Drosophila melanogaster: one gene and its partners. Changing the gene in region 3 together with the main gene of any one other region gives a genetic interaction. Each region holds a gene or a part of one and is shown on either strand. Other genes may lie near its edges.

Region 1 (7,525 bases), on a different chromosome or scaffold from region 3:
TATTAAACGGCTTATTTTATAAAACTCCTAAACTTTTTAACATGCGTTTATCGATAAAATTGTGCGTTCATATTCCAAGAATTATTCTGAAATCTCAAAAAGCACTACTATTTCAAAATCATTTGTGTTTTTGTCACCTACATAGTTATAGTTAACTATTTTTATCTGTATTACAAACTTTTGAAATGGACTAACTGAAATTTGAAGTCCAGTGCGTACTTAAAAATATAGCATACTTTTAGGGCTTTCGTTTTGAAATACTACCATTCACAGAGAGCAACACGAATTTTGCAACACTGTTAGCTAGACATGGGAAAAAAATGTTATATAAATTATGATAAAATATTATATACATAAGACAATTTAAATATATATTTGGAAATGTTATGTACTTTAAAAATTCAAAATTTATGAACATAAAATCTTTACCAAATAAAAATTAATTTATATAAATAAAGAAATCAATAATTAGTGACAATAATTCTTCTGGTTCTGCTTGTGATGCAAGCGTACTAAGAAGTCAGTTACTTTCCTTTTAATTTTTATATTTAATATTTATATTCCTTTAACAAATAAAATAAAAAGTAACTACATATTTTCTTAAGTTGCGTGCGATGCAAAGTCAGTTCCTTTCCTGTTAACTTTACTGGTTTTATTTATCATAAAGTTGAGAGCAACTGGTTTTGACACTATCGATGGAAAAGTACTATCGATAGCTATCACCATTCGCCTCGAAAAACAACAACAATGCTACTTTTGTCGCCCATCGCTATTAAAACCTACAATCAATATGAAATGCAAGTAAACGTTGAAAACAGCAACAAATCAAGCTAAATAATAGTAGTGACTTTACTAATGCATTCGCACCGGTAAAATACATTTTGAAATAGTAAAAATTGTGCGAAAGCGACGTGGAAAGCCGTTTCAAAAGGCCAGGTACAAAAACATACGCACACAAGCGTAGACCGTGAGACGGGCAGGCACCCACACGCACACACATATGTAACCCGTCTTTTCCATGACAAAGTGAAATAGAAGAATCGTTAAGAAAATAAAGAAAGCAACAAAGTGAAAATAGAAGCATTGGCTCGATAACGTCTAGCAATTGAATGCACTTCCCTGGGACGTATATTTATCGATCATCGGTTGGAAGTGCGTGCGAAAACAACGGTTCTTGTATTAATTGCACGTATATGTACATAACAATTATATTGTCGCCGTGTGAGTTTTTTTCACCGTTTCTTTTACGCGGAGAGATCGGATGGGCCAGCGAATCAATGTACATGCACATATATCCGATATCTGCGATATAGGCGGCGACAAAGGAAGTGACGACGCAGTACGGCGGATTGGTATCCCGGGACATATCCGCAATTGCAAACTATTCGCGAATAAAACCAGCCGCTTCCCCAAATAGACATACACACACGGGCATATATATACATATGTACGTACACACGTCTGCTTGTGTACATCGCGCTTGACACCCTAACATTTGCGTGGAATGTTTGCACAAATATACGAAACCAGAATGCTCATCTCGGCACCACCCTACGCGGATTGTAGCGTAAACATGCTGGGAGATCTGTGATAGAACTAATCCATTCACCTCTCCTTATCTTTCAGGATAAACCAAGGATAACCCAGGTTAACTGTGTTCTTGTTGTGTTAACCATTGATTGCCGCCGAGGAAAGCAGGTTCCGTCATCGGAAAAGTCGGAGAAGCACCTGCTCTTCTTGCAGCTCCCTGCTCCGGAGTCCGAACCGCCAATAAAGTGGAGGAGCAGTGCCGACGCTTGCAAAGCATGAATCTGCGGGGAAATCCTCCCAAGAAGGAGGGCAAAATGCGCATTCGGGCCTTTCCGGTAAGAACCCACATTGGAGCATCGTTAAAACCACGATACACACTCTTAATCGTGTAATATTGCTAAGAGCGAACTAATATGAGATTATCTATTATCTGACAACCCGGAACTAATACAAGTTTAAACCACAAACTGTAAAAACATTTTCATTTTAAGCTCAAATCCAAGAAATCACTATGAAGAAAGAGCTTGCTGTCCACAGCAAGTTGTATAATCCCAGATTATGCCATTTCTTTGGTTCAAAAAACAATGATCTTCAAATTTTTAAGATTAAGCGTTTGAAAAGGTTGAGTGCAATTTGCAAACGAATTTAAAAAACGAGATATACTCATTTGAAAAGCCCCTTACTCGCTTTGCAGTTGAGATGAGAGTTGCAGCGAAAAATCTGTCGATCGCATCATGAACTTGCAAAATGTTTCGATAAGATAATGCCATTTGCGGGTATTAAGAGTTAGATAATTTTTATAAAACAATTAGCAAATTCACCGGTTAGGCGACACCAAACATTTCTCCCCACAAAATGTCAGGCGACATGAAAAGCAAACACCAAAAATCAAAAACAAATAAAAACATCAAAACACCAACCGGGGCCAGGGGAATTTTCAACACACATTTTAGTTTTTAAGTTACAACGAATTCAATCGTAGTTTTCGAGAAATTATTGTTGACCAACAACACACACAAAAAGACTGTGAACACCTGTATGTGGAGAGCAGGGTGAAGGGCGAGACCCGAATCGCGAGTAGAACTCTGGCCGGAGTACGGAGCACAGAGGAGGAGGAGGAGCAGCGGACCAGGTGTAGCAGAACCGCGCGGCGGATGTGACATTGAAGCTATCATCATTAAGTCGTTAAACCAAAGTCGGTCTCGCCAGGCACCGGCTTCAGCAGCGGGCTATTATCCAGCCCCTCGCTCTCTGGCACTCAGCGAGGAAGAGAGGAGCCACTACCGGGACAGGACGTGTGAGCTGGACCAGCGTAGCAATCTCATGCAAGGCCGCGATCCCCGCCAACAGCAGCCGGAGCCACTGAACAACCTCAACGCCAACGGCCGCTACCACAATCGCATGGTGGCCGGCTCCAACAACTTCAATGGCGCAACTGTCGGTAATGTGGACTCTGCCGTGCCTTGCCGGATTGCAAGGCAAAACGTTCTTGGACAGCAGGCGCGAAGCATGAACATCAATGTGCCCAACGCCTCCTCAATGCAGCAACACCAGCAGTCCCAAAATCGATTGTCCGCTCAGGGATTAGCTTCTGCCTCGCGGCGGAGTTATCACCTTGCCGCCAGCGGTGGCAGAGTTCGGGCTGATAACAGAATTAATACTAACCACCCGCTCACGCCGACGCCACTTTCCATGCCAGTTCCAGCTCCTGCTGCTCCAGCTGTCGTTAAAACTGAAACTAGTGCAACCACCTCTGGGCCATCAACCTCAGCTTCAGCGAGCGCAGAAAGTACAGAAAAACGCTTTAAGGAAATAGCACGGAAGTACCCACTCTGGCTACCGGAGTACAAGCGAAGGGCATTCAATGTTAGCCTACCATCTGATAAAAACCAAACAGGGATTTCAACTTTTAGTTAACTTACTAACAAGCGAAAGTCTTAATATCCCTCTTACACTCTTATGCATTTATAAGTTTTAATCCCTGAGAAATAAGTTCTTGACTATCCAAATTAATAATCTTATATTTCTCTTCCAGGCCTCCATGGACGAGAAGTACGTGGAGACCATTTGGGCCAGCTTAAAGAATGCTATCCAGGAGATACAGAAAAAGAACAACTCCGGACTATCGTTTGAACAACTCTACCGGAATGCGTACAACATGGTGCTGCATAAGCACGGCAATAGACTGTATTACGGTCTGAGGGAGGTCGTCTCAGAACACCTGGAGCACAAGGTGCGGGCGGATGTGCTGGAGGCTCTGCACAGCAATTTCCTACCCAAGTTAAACCAGGCCTGGACAGACCACCAGACATCTATGGTGATGATCCGCGACATACTCATGTACATGGATAGAGTTTATGTGCAGCAGCGCGAGGTAGACAATGTGTACAATTTGGGATTAATTTTGTTCAGGGATCAGGTAGGAATATCTTTATTGCATTTATTCCGTTGGAAATATATTTATCGCTTTTTCCATTACCAGGTGGTTCGCTATTCTGAGATTCAAAAGGCCCTGCGAGAGAAGTTGCTGGGCATGGTGATGGAGGAACGTCATGGCGAAGCCATTAACCATCTGGCTATCAAGAATGCTTGCAGTATGCTGATCACCCTGGGGATTAACTCGCGCACTGTCTACGAAGAGGACTTTGAAAAGCCCTTCCTTGCGCAATCGGCGGCGTTTTACAAATTCGAGTCGCAGAACTTTCTTGCCGAGAACAACGCTGGCGTTTACATCAAGAAAGTGGAAGCGCGCATCACGGAGGAATCTTCCCGGGCAGCGCTGTATCTCGATAAGGATACGGAGCCCCGCATTGTGCGCGTGGTCGAAGAAGAGCTGATCAAAAAGCACATGCGACCCATTGTTGAAATGGAGAACTCGGGCGTGGTGTACATGATCAAGAACTCAAAGACCGAGGATCTGGCCTGCACATATAAGCTTTTCTCGCGCCTGAAGGAGGAGGGTCTCAAGGTGATAGCGGACACAATGTCGGCATATCTGCGAGAGCAAGGACGCATGCTGGTTAAGGAAGAAGAAAACGGCAACACGAATCCCATAACATTCGTGCAGAACTTGCTGGATCTCAAGGACCGCTTCGACCAGTTTCTGGTGCACTCGTTCGCCAACGATCGCATATTCAAAAACGTCATCTCATCCGATTTTGAACATTTCTTGAACCTAAATAACAAATCCCCGGAGTATCTATCGCTATTCATCGATGACAAACTGAAAAAGGGTGGCAAGGGAGTGAGTTGAATTTACAATATGCTTTCTGAAATGTATTAATAATGTGTATTACTTTTCCACAGATGAGCGAACAGGAAATTGAGTCCATCTTGGATAAGACAATGGTTCTCTTCCGTTTCCTATTGGAGAAAGATGTCTTTGAGCGCTATTACAAGACGCATTTAGCCAAGAGATTGCTGCTGAACAAATCAGTCTCTGATGATTTCGAGAAGAATATGATATCAAAACTAAAGGTAGGTCAAGTTACTTGGTATCTTAGCATAATTATTTATCGCTTTAATCTCTATTATTGCAGACTGAATGCGGCTGTCAATTCACCTCGAAGCTAGAGGGCATGTTTAAAGATATGTCAGTCTCCAATACGATCATGGATGAGTTTAAGAACTTTGTAAATAATAACAATTTATCCCTTGGCGGTGTGGAGCTAACGGTACGCATACTAACCACTGGTTTTTGGCCCACACAGGTAAGCTTAAATTGTTCCATAATTATGTGAATAGGTTAACTTATCTTCAATTTCCGTAACAGACAGCAACTCCGAACTGCAATATACCCGCCGCTCCGCGTGAAGCCTTTGACATTTTCAAGAACTTCTATCTAAATAAGCACTCAGGACGTCAATTGACGTTACAGCCACAAATGGGTTAGCTACTTAAATGATCTTCTTTTTTAAGCAACTACTGTATTTATGCCTTCCCCTTCGAATAGGAACCGCCTATATCAACGCTGTGTTTTATGGCCGCAAGGCAGTTGAAAGTGAAAAGGATAAAGATGCACCCAGCTCCAGTTCAAGCGGCTGTGGGGTGCCCACCACCACACGCAAGCACATATTGCAAGTGTCCACGTACCAGGTAAGCTAAAATATCTTTTAGTTCGTACACCTCCGAATTTTATTTAGCAGAAGCAGCTTTATTTCATTGATCTGAAAAAAATATTTAACTAAACATTTAACATGTATTTCATAATCCAAAATTAGATGTGTGTGCTACTGCTGTTTAATAACCGCGACGTGCTCACCTACGATGACATACACCAGGAGACCGATATACCGGAACGGGAGCTCGTCCGAGCACTACAATCGTTGTCCATGGGCAAACCCGCTCAGCGTTTGTTAGTACGCAATTCTAAAACGAAAACTAAGGACATTGAGCCCACGGATGAGTTTTACGTAAACGACGCCTTCAACTCCAAGTTCCACAGGTTAGATATTACTTTCAGTGCGAAAGAACGGCGCCTGGTAATAATATCGAAACTATTTTAGGGTGAAGATACAAACGGTAGCCGCCAAGGGAGAATCAGAGCCAGAGCGTAAGGAAACGCGCGGAAAGGTCGACGAGGATCGTAAGCACGAGATCGAAGCGGCTATTGTGCGCATAATGAAGGCCCGCAAGCGTCTGGCTGTAAGTATTATACGTTTGCTATCTGGTTGGATTGTGATTTAACCATGATTCCTGTTTTTATTTTCTTAGCACAACTTGCTAGTATCAGATGTGACGTCGCAGCTAAAGTCGCGTTTCTTGCCCTCGCCCGTGTTTATCAAAAAGCGCATTGAGGGCCTAATCGAGCGCGAGTATCTGCAACGATCGCCGGAAGATCGCAAAGTGTACAACTACTTGGCCTAAGCGGCCCACAAAAAGTAGCAGGAGCGTCTTAAGCAGGATCCGGAACACACTCATCTTCAAATCGCCAGGGCTTGCACACTAACTGAAAAACACAATCTGCAGCTCGGACGGAATGGCCTGAGCATACGAGCGGCATTGATATGGCGGATACTGACCACGATTATAGATGACCGCCAGCCAATAACCCGAATACATAAATATATCAATTAGTGCGCCCCGAATCGTAAAATTTCGTTTCGCAACCCATTTTGTAAGCCTGACATTCAAAATTCAACAGTTAAAAATGCTATTGGATAAGGCACCACCATAATTATTATCCCTCTAATATATTTCTTGATATTCTCTAATTACTGTTTATGGTCATTTCTTTGCGCATAACAAGTGTATAGCAGTAAGCCCAAACAACCACATACACACCTGCTCCACCACCACCCCATTCAGAGCCACAACCACACACACCACATCCACCCACAAGAATCGTACGCAAAGCAAGATAAGAGAAATAATGCATAATGCAGCCCCTAATTGTAAGCAGCTGAGTAAAAAGGTAAAGAAGCAACAACAGAAATATAAGCAAGAAAATATTAATAACTATAAATATAGCTAAAGTAATAAATTTATAAATGAATTATGAATTTTAGAGAGCGTTTGATGTACATTTATACGTCGTCTGTTTCAATCCAAATAAAAACATTCATCCCACGTTTTGAGATGCGTGTGAACAGAACGTAAGGATTGCAATGACTATTCATATTCCTCTATCTTCATTTTTTGTGTACGCCCAAAGCAACGTGAAGTGATTATGATAATCTGTACGAAAAAGTTGTTTTATCTATTAGTTGATATGTGGGAATCGATTCCAGGCATATGTAGGCAACACTTCTGTAATGGATTTGAGTTAAGTAGGACACACATAGAATTGATTTTGAAAAACAATTTAACGCCGAACCGAAAGCACGAAAACGGAAGCAAGCAAACGCGATCTAAACACTGTAAATAAATTTTGTTCTTACATAAAAGAGAAATCGATATAAATAAAACGTATAATGAGCGTTAACACAGTTGTTGTCTATCTTTTAAAAGGATTTTAAAATATTTTCAATGAAATGCTTTTATTCGCCTGTACAAT
Region 2 (5,666 bases), on a different chromosome or scaffold from region 3:
TGTTCGCTCATTAACAAATATCGATCAAATAAAATGACTTGGAAAGTTTTCTTTTCATATGTGTAACTCACCCACATAGCCAACTTACCTGTTGCAGGGTGAATTCAGATTCTGGCACCTCTTCCCACAGATATTGTTTTTTTTTTTGTAAGTTGAATTTTACACATAAAGTTTTTGTTATCAGCAACGGATTAGTTAAATCCGTTTGCTAGCTTAATATTAAATCATTTCGACTGCAATTGCAAAATCGAGTAAATTAAGAAAAATGGAATAAAAAAACGCTTGCCAAGACACTTTCAAAAATATTTACAGAGGTTTACGATAAAGGATTAGGAAAAGTTCACAATTTACAGCATGCCAGAAACTGAAGGTTAAAGAGACGAAGGGCGCGGGGCTTTTGGATACCAAAAAATTGTGCTGTGTATAATGTGTGCCAAAAAATGTAAGAAGGGAATACGAAAATGTTGTATATGCCACGCATAAATCAGAGAGAGTAAAAGAGAAGGTCGAGCGAGGGGGTAAAATTTGATTGGATTTCGTTTAACGTGTGGAAAATGATTGAAACTTTTGCAGCTGAGGGTTTTCCACTAACTTTTTTTCCCAGCCAAGTTGTGCGCCAAATGCGAAAAATACCAAGCTGTCCGATTTCCGGGTCGCTGGGGCGTCTCACTTTCACTTTTCTCCAAGGATTGCGCTGTGTGTGTATGTGTGTGTGTGTATGATGTGTGCTTGTGTGTTATTTGCGTGTATGTTGGTGACACAACCAAGGCAACAGAAGCAACACCGAGCACAATCACTCGTCCTTGCAGTCACACAAAAGTTGATGTCCAGAAAAGAGCAATTGGATTTGCCGCAGGCCGTAAATATTTCTTAATGCAAAAAACAAAGTGCTGTGCTGAAGCTGAGGGCCGTTAACAATAATTAGATTTTTCTCTACTCAGGCATTCGGCCAACACGCACACTCACACACACCCACACAGAAAGCAGAAGCGTTTTGCTGGACGAGAAATGAACCGTTTTGCACGAGGCACAGAAGCGTTCTGGCCAAAATATTCGTGTCTACCTCTGAGGAGGAGTCCTTTTTCGAGTCCGCAGCCTCTGCGCATGTCCCACGGCCATCGATCCGCCTCGACGGTGGTGGCCACCAGCTACCCAGACCACCGTAATCCTGGCCAGCGCAACGTGGCCCACAGCCACTTGTTTGCATCATCGCGTGTTTATCCCGCCGATGCGCAGGCGCCGCCAAACATAAACAATGTCCAAGCCTAATGGATGACAGTTACCCCATGACAGTTGACAGTTGGGCTATCGGACCACTTGACATGCGCTCCTTGGACCGCCGTTCGCCTCCTGTCGACCGCCCAGGGCTTCGTATTTCGGTGTGCGGTGGCAACCCTCGAGGCACTTGAAAAAAAGACCACAGACCGCACAGAAAATACAATGAATTACGGAATTCATACAATACAATATCTTAAAAATAAACATATTCCCTGGGCTTGTGTGTTTTATTTATTGAATTAAACGATGGTAACAATTTTGCACTAATTTTTCATAAGTTTATTTTTTGATCGCGTCAAGAACTACTTTCTTTCTGAGAAACGAATTATTTTACATGTTTCTAAGAAATTAAAAACTATGTAAAGCGAAAGTCATTATCCAGTACACAAATAAACTCCTTCAGCTTTAACTTGTGCCATTATCGCCTGATTTGTCCCACTGTGATCATCAGAGCTTCGTTTTTGCGAACTTCCGTTTTGCCTCAGATATTGCAGCTTCAGTCGCAGAATCATTAATTACTTTCGCAGCTACCCCAAGCGAAAAGAAACAGTCGCAGTGCTGGCTAAAAATATCTCCCCTTGCGGCACAGCGCACATAACATAAATCTTCCGGCTGATCGGACTAGCCACATCGAACGGCAGCAGCAGCAGTCGCAGCAACAGCAGGTAGGCCAGCCGGAGGTCAGGGGTCAGACTAAAGGCTGCACAATGTCCAGGCCGTGACGCCACATCCCCGCGGCGATTGGTGAAACGCACAAGTCAATTCCAATTGCATTACCACTTGACACGTCGCGACGAAAACAAATAAACAAACACACACGAACCCAAGGATGCGGCAGCCGTGAGAAAAAAATAAACACGAAGAACGCACCAGCAGATATATCTCGTTCAGCAGTCGCCAGATGAGATGGACTCAGTTCGGGTAGCCAGTTCTTCGGTCGACGCCTCCGCATCGGTCTTTAGCTTCTGGCCGATCTCAGCCGCCTGCTGTTATTCAGTATTCATCGAACAGTCGCATCTCTCAGTCGCCCAACGGATGTTGCAGCACCACAGGAACTACACAGATATTTACGCGATTCCATAGATTCTCGTTCTCGTAGTCGAGAAACTGAAAGCGAAATCAATGGTATCCGCAAGATACACGCTCGTGTGCGCGGCTTTAAGTGAATATAATTGAAGACCAAGTGATATAAATAGTTGGATAAACTCTTTCTTCAGCCGCGACACGTGCCGGGCACACTTTTCCCCTTTCGAAAAATTGAGTGAGTTTTACCCCTAAAATATCGAAAAACTATTTTTAAACATATATATGTATATATTATAGTGAAGTGCATCTGCTAGATGCAAATTGCGTATACTGAATATTTTATGTGCCAATTTACGCATCCCTAAACATTTTACGGGCCCGTTTGCTTTACCAAAATGAGGAAAACATCAAAAAATATCAATTATATTTTTATAAATGATAGAAGGAAGTCTACTCGACTGTGCTAGATGTTGTTTATATTTGATTTACTTGATTCTTTGGCACAATATAGACTTTTTACCGCCGTTTTCGGACTAAATTTAAAATTCAACACGCTCGTAGTCGTCAAAGTGGATGCTGAGTTTTCTTCTGATCATGCCCGCTTTTCTTCTCTCTTCTTTCGATTGCTTTTTGTTGTCTGCGATTTCCTACAGCTGCCGACGACACTTATAAATATATTTGCATATATTAGCGTGTTCTACAGATATAGTATCGCACGTACGTACATATATCTGCACATGTACTCTTATCTGCGCGATTCTATATTAATTTTCGCTTACTTGTCGCTCTATGTCTGTGTTGCCCATTTCCGTTTGTTGTCGTCATTAATTGATGTTGTTTATGCCAAATAAAAATATTATTTCTGCAAAAGAAAATAGGGTTTTGTATTATCGAATTTTCTTAGAAATGTGGGAAAGAGTTAGCTGGGGATAATTATGAACATTTATATGTTATAATGCATGCTAAAACATTGTGCAATTAGTACTTACTACTTAAATATTTATAACACTTCAGTTTAGAAAACACTAATCAGTGTTTATGCAACATTTATTATTTGATTCAGATTTATTTCAAACATCTATGATTGTGTACACTAGTATTGTGTACACAAGTTTTTAAACGACCCCAAAAACCCTTCGTGCACATTTCAATATTTAGCGAGTAACCATTTGACCTTTCATCATGTATCATTTATTATTTTATTTTTTTTGATTTCATTTACAAATTACCATTGAAAAGCAGAAAATTCAATTAGGTTTCCGCGAAGTGCAAGTCGGGCCTTTGCAAACCTGGCCAATGGCACCTGTTGGTGGCGAGGCAAATGCACCTTGCGTTAAGACCAGGCTTACTTAAATTACAAGTGTCCGGCTTATAAGCCAGCACGTCACAATCTCCGAGGGGCGAAAAAGGACCAAGATAAATGCATTTGTGTCGCATCCGTGACTCTGATTAGGTGATATTACATCGCCGGACGAAAGGACGCAGGAGGCGCAGAATGGGGTCCTTAATGCACTGCAAATTGAAAGAGGAAACGCAGCTACGACTGAAACTGACGCACAAGCAGGCCCATCGCACCCCGCCCCCCCCCCCCCCCCATCGGAATAGGGGGGTTTCGCCACTGCAGCGGCTGATGGAGCTAAATTCAATTTCCAGTAGTTTGCATTAATTTCCCGGCTTATGCCGACCGCCAGAGTGCGCCACTGTCGCTGCCTCCCTTTCCTCCCCCTTCCGTTTCCATCACATTTTTCTCACTTTCACATGCAATCTGAAACAGCAACAGCTTTCGCTGGCTGAAATGTGTGGAGAACGAGTGAGCTCTGTGGAAAATCCAGCGAGTCGGAGAAGAAATTTCCTCAATTTCCAAACGCATCTGTAACTGTGCGCTCGTGTATCCTGTGGCTCGATTTCAGGCGCAGGATATTCGTTTAGCCACCGACGCGAGATGCCGATGCCGATGCCGATGCCTAGGATGCTGGCCGGGCTTTAACGAATTTCCCCACATTTCAGTCTTCGTTTGCCGAGCGTCGTGCGCGCAAGTATCCCTCAGAATCGCGGATAGACGGCCTCAAAAAAAAACAACAAGATATACCCAAAAAAAAAAGAAGATAAATCTGAAGAAAACCAATATATGTAGTACCATCAACAACAGTGCTAGAAAAGTTAATACTACAAAAGAGAGCAAACACAACCAGCAGCAAATGAAAAAGAAAAGGAAACGTGAAAAGTGTAGCTGAAAACTTCATATTCTTCGAATAAAAACCATATTTTTCCCCGAAAGATACATAATTCAAGAGAAGCAGAGCTTACGAAAATTTCGGTTGAGCCACAAATCAGTGCGTAATGGTAAAAGTGATTACATATTCGAAACTGAAATGTGAAATCATTGCATTCAATTTGAAATAATGATGAGCAGTGAAAAATCGAATGAAAAATTTGTTGAGCTGCAGGAAAAATTTCGTTACTTCCAAGCTTGCGTGTGTGTGTGCGTGTATGTGGTGTGTTTTTTTGTGTAGTATCTTTTGTGCGCCTCGGCTGCTCTGTATCTGTAAGATACGCAAAACAATTTGTCTGCGCCATTAGTAGCGAAGAGTGTCCTATGTGTGTGTGTATCCTGCGCAGTCAACGATACCGAGGCTGCGTCTCGCATCCTGGCAAATCCTTGCCACCATCGCCATCTAAATTGGAGTCGGGCACAGAGGGCAGCGCAATATTTGCGACGTTGACGCAGCCCCCACTCGCTCCTTCTAATGTAGTTGTTGTTGTTGTTGTTGCTGGTCCTGCTCCTATGGCGGCAATGTGTGTGTATCTGCAAAATACGATATACAGACCAAGGATACTGTCCATGTGCTAGCGCTCTTTTGTTGCTTCAGTTCGAAATTTGGACTATATTATTGTGGCTTCCGTTTAATTTTCTTTTTATTATTTCTGGAAAACTTCGGTTAAGAACACAATAACATTTTTATTATGTCGAGTAATATCTGTATTAATTGACTAGTTTTCGGGTAATAACTCAATGTGCACAGACACTGAAATAACATAAATATGGATTGTTTCCAATGTTTCCTGCACAAATAGATTTGATTCTCAAAACTCTTATATAAACTTTACATAATAGTTATATTTCAAACTTAAAGAAATACCCTTTAAGTACTTTTTAAGTGCTATATCTATTTTAGATATGAGTTTGGACCGATTATAGTATCCTGGCAGTAGAAAGTTAGCTTCAAAATAAGATAAACCTTACTTGAATTGAAATCAACATTTCTAACGATTAAAGGTAGAAGTATAACTAAAAATTATTTAAAAAGTTTGACCCACTCTTAGTTTCAACTTGATCTTCATAATAGGTACATATGTATATC
Region 3 (5,397 bases):
TTAGGACATTCAAAATCCAAGCAGCTTTTTTGATTTTTTCAAGGCGTACCCGTTTACCCGTTTGAATCCCTGATCTAAAACAAATGCCCATTTCCTAGCTGTAGTCTCTGATCTGATGCCCCCAAAGGAATTGTTAAATTTAGTCTATTACTCTAGTCGGCTGGCGGTGCGGGGCGGGGAAGGCCCGTCCTGCTATCCAGCACTAATTTATTGTTAGCAGGCCTGCTCAAGGACGCGAACGCAGGATTGCACTGCATTGAAATCCAATTTCAAAGGAAAACTTAGCTGTAAGAACGAAACCAATCGAATCGAATGCGATAACGAAACAACGCAAGCTAAATACAAATCTTACTAGTTATACGAGCATATTCTATTTACAACGATCATCTGTTTGTATCTTGCGCTATCTGCAGACTAAGTTTCAAGCACTTTATGCTATAATTTCGAAGCGAATAATCATCAAACGTCCATTGCAGCCAACATATACCACTTATACAAGAGAAAATCAAGATACCAGTTAAGCAGCTAGAACAAAGTAATATAGCAACTATGTACGTGCATGTATACACTCCTTAAAACTGCAAAGTTAATAGAACCCTCTAAAAATATCAATAACTGCATTTAAATCTATGAGAAAACCGTACATATATCGAATGCAAAGTAAAATCAAAAATATATACACAAAACAGTTTAAGAAACTCTTTCCGCAAGCTCACAATTTTCCACATATATAAATTTTTCACCTTTTTAAAGCACTTTTTTATTTACTTTAATTGATTGGATAAAGTACCCAACTCACTTCCCAAAAACGGCCAATAAGACGATTGTAACATAAGCCTATGCCTAAACTCAAATTTTTGTCAGCTTAAGAAGGGTTATTTGAAAAATAACGCAAACATTTTCAATAAAACCAAATATATACATATATATACCTATATGCGACTGTACATGTGTTTTTTAGCTAGCTAAACTAACTTTATACCGTAAAATAATAGAACAATTGAATAAATATTAACTAACGTTGGACGCAACACTAAATTACAACAGATAGAACTCGATTTGAACCTATTACTGCTCGAAATGCTGAAACATTATAAACATTAAGTATTGCTGGAAAATATGTATAATTTGCACAGAGCCAAACAGGCACACTCAAACGGAATTAACTCAAAACCCAAGCTACAAAACCATCTGAAATATTTAATATTGATAATTTGTAATGCATTAACAACAACATTAAATAAACTAATAATACTTACTGAACTGAATCTGTTTTAAAAATCATTTATATTTCTAATTGGAACACTTAGACCATATAAAATAATAGCATCAAATGAGATAGAACGAAATGAAGGCCAAATATTTTTGGAATTTTTAAACGCTCCTGTGAGCGCGCGCATTTACTTGTGGCTTATGGTCACCCTAATGAATTCAGTACTAGTTGGTCTGATGCCATCACTATTTGAAAATAAGCGATATATCGATAGGATGTAATTGTTATCACTTATAAAAGCGTTTCGGTATTGTGAAAGAAATGGAAGGCGGTACACACACAATATAAACATCCAAATAACAGCCTGTAAGCCCTTAGAAAATTCCCATAAAAAAAGAAACAGTGCCCGTTTTGTAAAGCCAAACCATCCAAATTGTTGGAAGAGAAGGAAGTGAACGTCTCAGGAACTGAAAAAAACACCAAGGATAACGAACAAAGATGCCACTCAACCAATTGCCACTCCCCAAGCTCAACGAAAAGCTGCCCTATTTAGTTGCTGAAATGCAGTAAAAAACGCATAAACAACTGTTAAAACACCACAACAAGATGACCCAGAAGCCAGGCGAGTGGGCTAGCGCCCTTTTGGCACGTTTCGAGGATCAGGCAAGTGTTTTCCAATCGCTTTTCCGCAGTTGCGTTTTCGCAAGCGAAAAAATGTACCTGCTGCTCTGCCTCTTCCTCCCCCACACATGCTCACAGCGACCTTGCGAGTGTGCGTGCCTCACCCGCTCTGTCAGTGTGAGCTCTCAATCAAATGCGTGGGAGAGCGAGATAGCAACAATAACAAAAACACCGGTTCCCGCATGAATGAAGTGGAATTGAGCAATCAATGGTTTACTTTTTCAGCTGCCAAACAGAATCGGTGCCTATGGCACGCAGGCCAGGATGAGCCAGGACCAATTGGTGGCCTGTCTGATCCACATATCGCGCTACCGCTTCTCCCTTGTCATATCCGGTCTCACCAAGATGCTGCAGAGGGTCAATGAGGCGGTAAGTACTCCATTCTCTATTGTTAACCCTTAAACTATGTTGCCTTATTTTATGGGGCTAGGATACGATTAAATTACTTAAACAAAAATTTCATTGCAGGCCCTTCAAAATCGCCATGAGCCAGAGCGTTGCTACTTTGAGTCGCTGGTCATCATACTGACCACTCTGGAACGCTGTCTGACCAACCAGACCAAGGACACAGCACGTTTTGAAGAGGCCATGAATGTGAAGCTTCTGCTGCGCGAGATCTCCCAGTTTGTCGACGTCCAGAGCGACAGCAATCCGAATGCCGCCCAGCTCAAGGCCCTGGCATCCAAGGTGCTCTTTGCCTTGTCCCAGAATCACTTCTCGGCGGTGTTCAATCGCATATCGGCCAGGATTCAAGAGCTGACATCCTGTTCCGAGGAAAACCCGGACTACAACGACATAGAATTAATTCAACACATCGATATGGATATGATAAAGCTAACCAAGCTGCTACAAGGTAAACTAACTTTTTTAATATTTCGGAAAGGTTAAACAACGTTTTACGTTTCCAGAAACCATCACAAAGTTTCGATCGAAGCGTGCTCCACCTTTGATCTTGCTTTACTCGCTGGAGAAGGCTATTTGGAACTGGATCGAGTACCATCCACAAGAGTTCCAGGACTTGCAACGAGGAACCAATCGAGATATATCAACGTAAGAGGAATTACAAGCGTTTTTAAAGTCACATTAATTGATCCTGTTTCGTTTAGCTGCTGGGAACCCCTGATGGACTTTGTAGAGTACTTTAAAACCGAAAACAAGAAAAGCAAGACTCTTGTTTGGCCGCTTCAAATGCTCTTGCTGATATTGAATCCCTCTTGCCTTGAGGCTGTTGTTAACGAACTTCAGCAGTCGGAGAAAGAGAAGGAAAAGGACAAGGAAAAGGTTGCCTCGAAGTCAGCGCAATCCACGTCCCGGGACAAGGACTTCTCGGCCAAGCAGTTCATCGAGAGTATCAAGAGAGGCTTGGGCCAGCACTCACCATCCAAACAGGTGACCGAATCTGCGGCAATTGCCTGTGTAAAGCTGTGCAAAGCATCCACCTACATCAACAACACCGACTCCAATAATGTGGTCTTCAAGTTGGTGCAATTCTTTATCAACGATCTCAAGGCACTGCTCTTTAATCCAGCAAAGCCCTTTTCGCGCGGTCAGGGGTACAACTTCGCTGATATCGAGCTGATGATTGACTGCTGGGTGTCTTGTTTCCGGATTAATCCTCACAACATCGAGGCTCTAAAGGTTTGCCTGAATTTGTCCTCGCCGCAGGCTTACCATTTTGTAATTGTGTGCTCTCTGCTAAGGTAATTTACTTGGGTAGCTATATAAAACTCTTGACTTTTACATGTATACTTTCCATTATAGGTTGGCTCACATATACGTTGACTTCCGTTTGCAGAACAAGAACCCCTTTCGAATAGTAAACCAACCGAGATTGTCTTGGTGGCCGCAAACGGATGTGGTTCACTACCGTTCTGCTGAGCTACGAGCTTTGTTTACGGATACGCTCAACAAGGCCACCCAGGGTTATATAGCCCATACGCCACTGCGCTACATAACCTCCCTGACGCTCAAATCTAAAGATACCCAGAAAGGTTTAACCCGCGCTGAAGAGGGTCCCGCCCACAAAATGCTATTACTGCTACTCGTACGGCTAATTCATGCAGATCCCACGCTTTTGTTGAATGTGAGTTATTTGATAATTTGATCGATAATAGTCTCATATTTAACAATTGTTTTGTAATATAGACCCAAGGAAAAGTGGCACATGAAGTGCAGAGCTCCACATTGGAGCTCATCAACGGCTTAGTTAGTTTGGTGCATCAAACTACCATGCCCGATGTGGCACAAGAGGCTATGGAGGCGCTGCTTGCTCTGCACGCCCCGGAGAAAATAGAGGTTTGGAATCCAGAGGCTCCGATCAATACGTTCTGGGACGTTAGCTCCCAAGTACTGTTTTCAATCTCGCAAAAGCTCATTCAACACCAAATTGCCAATTACACTGATGTCTTAAAGTGGCTACGCGAGATCCTCATCTGTCGGAATACTTTTCTTCAGCGACACAAGGATTATGCACATGTGGGAAGTCAGATTGCCATTTGCAAGCAGGCTCACATTAAGATGGAAGTTGTTTTCTTCATGTACCTGTGGAGTGTTGATTTAGATGCGGTGCTGACATCGCTATCGTGTTTTGGACTACTATGCGAGGAGGCTGAGATTTGCTGCAGTTCTGATGAATTGACAGTCGGATTTATTATGCCGAATTACCACATTTACCAGGAGCTGGCTCAGTTGTCCACATGTGAGTTTGGTAAATTCATCATACATATTTTTATTAATAATAATTTCGTTTTAGCTGCAACGGACTCTCGCATTTGCTTTTTTGACAACACGCACGGCAATGTGCTGAGCCGTCTTACACTTCAAAAGCGCATAATGACCCTATTGCGCAAGATCGAGCACTGTGTTCATGGTGTTCAGCCCGCCTGGGAGGAAACCTTCCGCAACTGGGAAGTATCCAGCAAGGTTTTGCAAACGTACCCCAAATGTAAAGGAGAAGATGGCCAAGCGGAGGTTTTCCATCGTGGCATGGGCAAGCGGCGAGCGAGTCACCAAAGCTCAGAGCACGATTTGGAGGAACAAATTAATGAATGGGCCAATATGACATGGTTTCTATTAGCCTTGGGTGGCGTCTGCCTTCATAAACGTAGCAGCAGTCGTCAAATGCTGCTGCAGCAATCACAGAACAATGCTTCTTTGGGATCACTTGCTCAAAACTCTCTTTACTCAAGCTCCACAAGTTCTGGACATGGCTCTCTGCATCCTAGCACGGTTTCACTATCCACTCTTCCCCCAGCACCGCCACAAGATGTCAGCTATTGTCCTGTAACACAGTAAGGTTTTATTTATTTTAACATGTCCCATATATAACCTATAACTTTAATTTAGATTCGTGGGCCAACTATTGCGCCTGTTAGTTTGCAGCAACGAAAAAATTGGACTTAATATTCAGAAAAATGTGAAGGAACTGGTGGGCGAGGAGATGTCCACCCAACTGTATCCTATACTCTTCGACCAGGTTAGAGCCATCGTGGAGAAGTTCTTCG
Region 4 (5,611 bases), on a different chromosome or scaffold from region 3:
TCTCTGTCTCTATTTAGTCCTCTCTTCCCACACCCGCGCACTAGAAATCAAAGCTCTGCAAACACACCTTCGGCACTGAAGAACTAAACTTTTCTGAATTTAAGCTTCTGCTGTGTCTGCGCGATTAGCGAGCTTTTGTTTTGCGATTCCTTTTTAATTAATCCGTTCACTAGTTTTAAGTTCATGTGATATGTGTACTGTAGGTGTAGGAAGTGGAGGTAGTGGAGCGAACGCGAGACCAGATCCGCTGCGTCACAGGAACAGGATGCTTCTGGGGCGAGCGCAGGACTTTCTGGCACTGCTGCGCGCTGTAGCTGCTCTTGCGTCCCTTCTCCCCCTCGTCTCCTTTCCGCAAATTACAGCGCTCTCTCCATAAGAGTGTGTCGCGCTGTGCACCCCGCCCAGTTATGTAATGCGGTGAACAGAGGGATGACCCAGAGGGTCAGGACATGCGAGAAACCAGCCCGCACCCCTTGAGAAAGCATCAAAACACCATAAATGAGCAATAGACGGTAGACCCACCCTTAGTCAAACAAGTTGTAATACTTCGCTTGGCGAAACGAAGCAAAACGAAACGTAGAACGGCATTTTCTCCAAATGTACGAGCGCCATTTGCCACCGATAAGGGTTAAAAGCACGGCATTGCCACCCCCTAAGCCGGCTCCGCCATTTACATGACACCTTGGTAAGGGGTGCGGACAGCAGAAACAGAGGCTTAGGCAGAGGGGGCGGCGAAGAGGCTGAGCAAGAGAGACAGAGGATGCTGCTCGGAACGAAACCAGCGAATGTGTTGGTTCACTGAACTAAGTGCGACAGAGAGAGGGGGCTGTCGCGAAAAGCGATCGCTGCGGAAATGGTAGCAATTTGATTTGCATATAGGGACTACAGCGGGTCTCGATATATATTTGAGCTTTAGTTAACGCATTCGACACTCCCAAAGTCGTGCTAAAAACTACATAGCTGGTTTGGACTGGTTAGCTGAGACTGAAAAGTTTTTAGTTGCTACTGTTTTTACTTTGGTGGATGCTTTTCTTAGTTTTTAATATCCTCTATTCTCATACATATGTATGTACCGACTCGCACCTTTTATTGAGGCGCTTATGGAAGAGTCAAAAGGTCACGCGCACGCACGTCGTCGTCCTGTACCACCCACTTTCGTCATGGCAAGCCAATTAGAGGCGGGTAACGATAACCCGAACTACAATACGGCAAGAAGGAGCTACTTGTCTAACATAGACATATGTACATGGATACACACATATATATATCAAATATAGCTAACCTCTTATGATTTAAATTAATTTTTTTTTTTAATATTCCGCATTAGTGGTTTGATTGTGTTGCCTTGACACGACACCGCACCCTTCGAAAGTTTTCTCTCTTTCGTCCTGCGATCTCGTCAGCTCGGCCCGTCGTCTTTCAATACTCACTTGTTTTAGTTTAGGGAGCGAGTATGTGTGTAGTTGGTTTTGGGGAGCTGGTTGGTTGTTGTTGTTGTTTGGCTGGACAAACAAAGCGAACTAATTGCTAAGTTCTCTTTGCAATCTCAAATCCTTGCGCGCGCGCTCTCACGGCGCTCCTCCTTGCTCTCTGCTTCGATTTTCTCCCACACTCTCTTCGGTTGTCCAGGACTTTGGTGTTTGTTGTAATGTAATCGTTTTTAATAAATAAACGCTGGCGTCGCCGTCTGATGTGGACAAAAACAAAAATAAAACAAAACTATAAGCGGTAAATTCGATGGGTTTGGTGGTTGTTGTTGTAGTTTTAGTTGTTCGTGTTTGCGGGCCTGTGTGTGTGCGTGCGATTGTTATCGCCAATCGATATTATCGATTTTACCCCATCCAAAGCATTGAATTCATATTTCACAGGCGATACAAAAAATATATCTGCGTGCAGATACGCATACATGTGGCGCAGCGAGAATACTTTGAGATGTTGGTAAAATTCTACTGAAGAGAGGTTATTTGGGCCTGTAGCAACCGCTCTTTACCTGCACCGATTTAGATATCGATGTTGTTGTTAGGAGGTGGGCGGAGGGGACTCAAACTTTGTATGGCTGATATTGTTTTTACAAGCACATATGTACACATAATAAATAAATACGCGTGTATATATCTACCTATTTCGAGCTCTCTTCCACACAAGCATAAACACAGACGACCACTGGGAAAAAAAAAACTAATTGTTGTCGTTTTTTGAGAAAAAACTCCTTTGCTGTGAATCGCGAATCCTCTATGTTTAATATTGCTACTACGACATGGGTCTGATTCATGCCTGCGTGCATTTGCTTTTATGGCAACCGGCGTTTTGTTGACTGCAAGTACTCCGCCACCCACACACACTCGCCCACCCTCTCCGCTGCGCTCAAAAAATGGCTACTTCTAACGGTTAGTTGGTCGTGTTCCTCCGTTTGTTGTTGCGTACAATGCTCCTTGCACATGAAATCATAAAATCGATATGCTAGCTGCGCCCTCTTCGGAACTGGCTCTCGCTCTAACACTCAGCGCTCTTCTCTCCCGCACACGCAAGCCCACACACACATACACACACAGATTTAAATTTGAGCAGCAAGTATTTACAGATACACAGCTCACAGAGGCGTAGATCTGAACACATCTACTATCTCCGCACTGGCCGCCCCCTCTCACTCTGACTAACCGCCGCCCATCTCTCCGCCACTCTCTTTGGGAGGTTCGCTTTTTCCTCCATCGAATTGCATATTGTTGTTTTGCCTATTAATATTCGTTTGAATGTATACAACTTACACACATCACACACCCACTAGCAAAAAAATAGATATAGGTACATATGGATATATGCAGACACGCGGATTATAAGTGAGTAAATTGCACAATTATGCAGCGCGACGCGATCATTAGCAAAAAAAAAGTACTGTTTCAAAGTTGTTGATTGATATTGTTATCATTGCCTTTCATTCAGTTGCACAAATTGTGGATATCCTGGGGATACTCTTACATTTCGCTCGGTGTGAGATGAGATTCCGGCCAATGGCTGTTGTCAGCTTCCAGTTATGGTTACTTCGGTTGGAGTCAACTCAACGGTTATTGTCATGCACTACTTAAAAAAAATCAATTGCGGAAAGAGCACACAAGCACGATATTTGGTATTCGATTAGAATTTTCCTTGCTTTTATTTTCTTTTTCTGTGGCAGGAGCGTTCAGACCGCGGCGCACGATGGTTGGCGTGGAAATGAAATAATGAAATGCGAAATTGAGGCATTGACGGTTTCGGTTTCCATTTTCACATAGAGCAACCTCTCATTCTCATATCTCATAGTTGCCTCTCGAGCAGCTCTCTCGGGGTTGCAATGGTGTTCGGAGCGAGAGTGGAAGGTAGAGAGCGAAAGAGTGGCGACATGGGCGTATCTGCGCGCCGAGATAGGGGGTTATTCCGGAAACCTTTAATATATTTTAATAGCTTTAATATATAGCCACCTAACATTTTACCTTAAGTTTTGTTTCTGTAAATACCACGTAGAAGTGGAGAAAGTTTTGTCTGATAAGAAACGAGTCTATAATCGTTGCAAAGTGGAATATTTCTAAGAACCCCTTTTGATACACCCCTGGCTTTCGGCTGCTCTCTCAGTGGTTTATGCTGTATTCAAAGTTTTTCATGCTTTTTGATACAAATTCAACCGATCAAAATGGAGGTTACCTTTCCCGAAGACAAGAGATAGATGGGGGAGAGAGCCAAGTTCTCTTGTCCAGTTAAGCAACTTAAAACCACTGGAGCAGCCCTAACTTACTTTGTAAAATTAACAAACTCATCTAGAACACATTGGTTTTATAGTTAACCCGATGTATGTATGCTTCATATGTATTTAGCTATGTATGCTTCATATGTACTTAGCGGCCCATTGGGCCTAGATAGCAGGAGCAATTGGAAATCATTGCAAAATGTTGGCTCTTTCCGACGAGGTCGTCAACCGTTTTATGATGCATGCGACCATTATCCTTACAAATCAGTCGCGTTGTAAGGGCTGTTTTGGGTTTATGGTTCCGTTTCCGTTATTATTATTTTTGCACTATCAACCACCAACGCCAAAGGCTAGGGTGGTTTCTCCTGGCAGTATTGCTCGTACACCCCCTACGAAGCGAAAGCCAGAAGCAAGGAACCGAGACCCAGGACCCATATCCAAGAGCCGGTATAGTTTTGAAGTAATGCAATTCTGGCTTTTTCAATATTTCCCTTCGTTTCGTTTCGCTTCGTTCGTGTGCTTCATTGCTCCTGTATTCGTTATTCGCGCCACTAGACACGCCACATAGTATGGTACATACATACATATATGTGTATATGTATGTATATGTATGCACATACTGTATGCCATATATCGCCATATATATGTAGCCACCCTCGGACACCCCCAATCCTTGTGAACTTCCTGTTCCCTGTGCTGATTTTTTCCTTCGCCTCTTCCAGTCGGACGCTCTGTTCCAGTTTACAGAACAATGTAAGGTACAGTGAAATCGCGTTGTGTGCAACTTTTTCACGAGAAGAATTTGGCTCGGTTTATAGTTGGGCATGTTATGAGGATATAAAGGACATAGAAAATTTTATCGGATTTCATTGTATGTTTTATGTACGCTGCACTGCACTTCGGGAATTGTAACGCAACTTTGGGCAGGGGGTGGTTTTTGATGTCCTTTCAAAGGGTGGTGCGCTGCTAGTGGCAACGGAAATGGGGTGGGGTGGCGCTATTGCTGCCCTCGAAAGATATGCGGATTCAGATTCAGACAGATCGACGTCGCAGAGAGTTTGGTTAGCATACAAATATGCAAATGCGATGCTTAAGTGGGGAATTGGCAAATTTCAATTAAAGGAATAGTTTGTTCGAAATGTTTCACTAATAACTCTTCACAGTCCTATTGGATCCATAATGGTATTTCAAGTTTGCGGCCACGTGCTGACCCCGTTTCATTCTGTCCACCCCAGAAATAGGCAATACGCTTTTTTAGTCATTTTTGGGAAAAGGATGTAATACAATGAGACTCGAAATCGAAAGGGTTGGGTCACATAATCCGTTTTAGCCACGCCAGAAACAAAACAAAAACAGCAAATGGCCTGCGTTACAACAAAGCGGGATTAAAAAGCAGGCACAACACGAGGTTACAACAAAGCTGGAAAGTGGCTGGGGAGGGAAAGGGAGGGTCTGGTCTTTTTCCCGGCTCAAATGAGAGGGACTCCGAAAAAGCCACCCTTAGCGTTTTAAAATCGTGGCGGAAAAACGAACCAACCCAAATATTTGTTGTGCTGCACCGAAAGCTAGGAGCCATAGGAACCTGGAGCGTGCATTCGATATTCTCGATTGCATTTTCTGCTTCGAAAGTAAAGCTATAATGGCGAGGTTACATATTTCTTGTTGACTTAGCCGGATCTTCCAGAACCAGATCCAGCGTTCCATGCATTCACCCGTTTTTCTTGAGACGAGTTGGATTAGAACGCCTAGGGCGCTTTTAACTTTCCATGTACCAATGCCCAAATGGCCATGATCCCATCATGGATCTGGATTGAGCAGACGGAATCCAAATGAATCGGATCTGCAGACGGCGGCAGATGCAGTTTCCCCCGAATCTAATTGTAATAATCATAA

What was found.
Region 1: of Nf1 (region 3) and Cul3, changing one enhances a phenotype caused by changing the other (phenotypic enhancement), as found in Drosophila melanogaster (one study listed by BioGRID).
Region 2: of Nf1 (region 3) and Alk, changing one suppresses a phenotype caused by changing the other (phenotypic suppression), as found in Drosophila melanogaster (3 studies listed by BioGRID).
Region 4: of Nf1 (region 3) and elav, changing one suppresses a phenotype caused by changing the other (phenotypic suppression), as found in Drosophila melanogaster (one study listed by BioGRID).

The regions. Positions count from the first base shown.
Region 1 is NT_033779.5:15,265,245-15,272,769, reverse strand, and holds Cul3 (cullin 3), read left to right. Parts: upstream 1-2,445; 5' UTR 2,446-2,853; coding exon 2,854-3,396; intron 3,397-3,565; coding exon 3,566-3,949; intron 3,950-4,012; coding exon 4,013-4,774; intron 4,775-4,836; coding exon 4,837-5,007; intron 5,008-5,069; coding exon 5,070-5,240; intron 5,241-5,302; coding exon 5,303-5,417; intron 5,418-5,482; coding exon 5,483-5,625; intron 5,626-5,750; coding exon 5,751-5,974; intron 5,975-6,035; coding exon 6,036-6,174; intron 6,175-6,243; coding exon 6,244-6,396; 3' UTR 6,397-6,741; downstream 6,742-7,525.
Region 2 is NT_033778.4:16,636,619-16,642,284, reverse strand, and holds the start of Alk (anaplastic lymphoma kinase), read left to right. Parts: upstream 1-2,273; 5' UTR 2,274-2,539; intron 2,540-4,309; exon of another isoform or gene 4,310-4,637; intron 4,638-5,666.
Region 3 is NT_033777.3:25,981,473-25,986,869, forward strand, and holds the start of Nf1 (neurofibromin 1), read left to right. Parts: upstream 1-1,540; 5' UTR 1,541-1,819; coding exon 1,820-1,876; intron 1,877-2,119; coding exon 2,120-2,263; intron 2,264-2,362; coding exon 2,363-2,747; intron 2,748-2,802; coding exon 2,803-2,944; intron 2,945-3,000; coding exon 3,001-3,594; intron 3,595-3,655; coding exon 3,656-3,977; intron 3,978-4,039; coding exon 4,040-4,592; intron 4,593-4,646; coding exon 4,647-5,184; intron 5,185-5,239; coding exon 5,240-5,397.
Region 4 is NC_004354.4:520,010-525,620, forward strand, and holds the start of elav (embryonic lethal abnormal vision), read right to left. Parts: upstream 3,218-5,611; 5' UTR 2,977-3,217; intron 1,688-2,976; 5' UTR 1,432-1,687; coding exon 1,431-1,431; intron 277-1,430; exon of another isoform or gene 68-276; intron 1-67. UniProt on the Drosophila melanogaster protein: Required for the proper development and maintenance of neurons presumably by affecting RNA metabolism.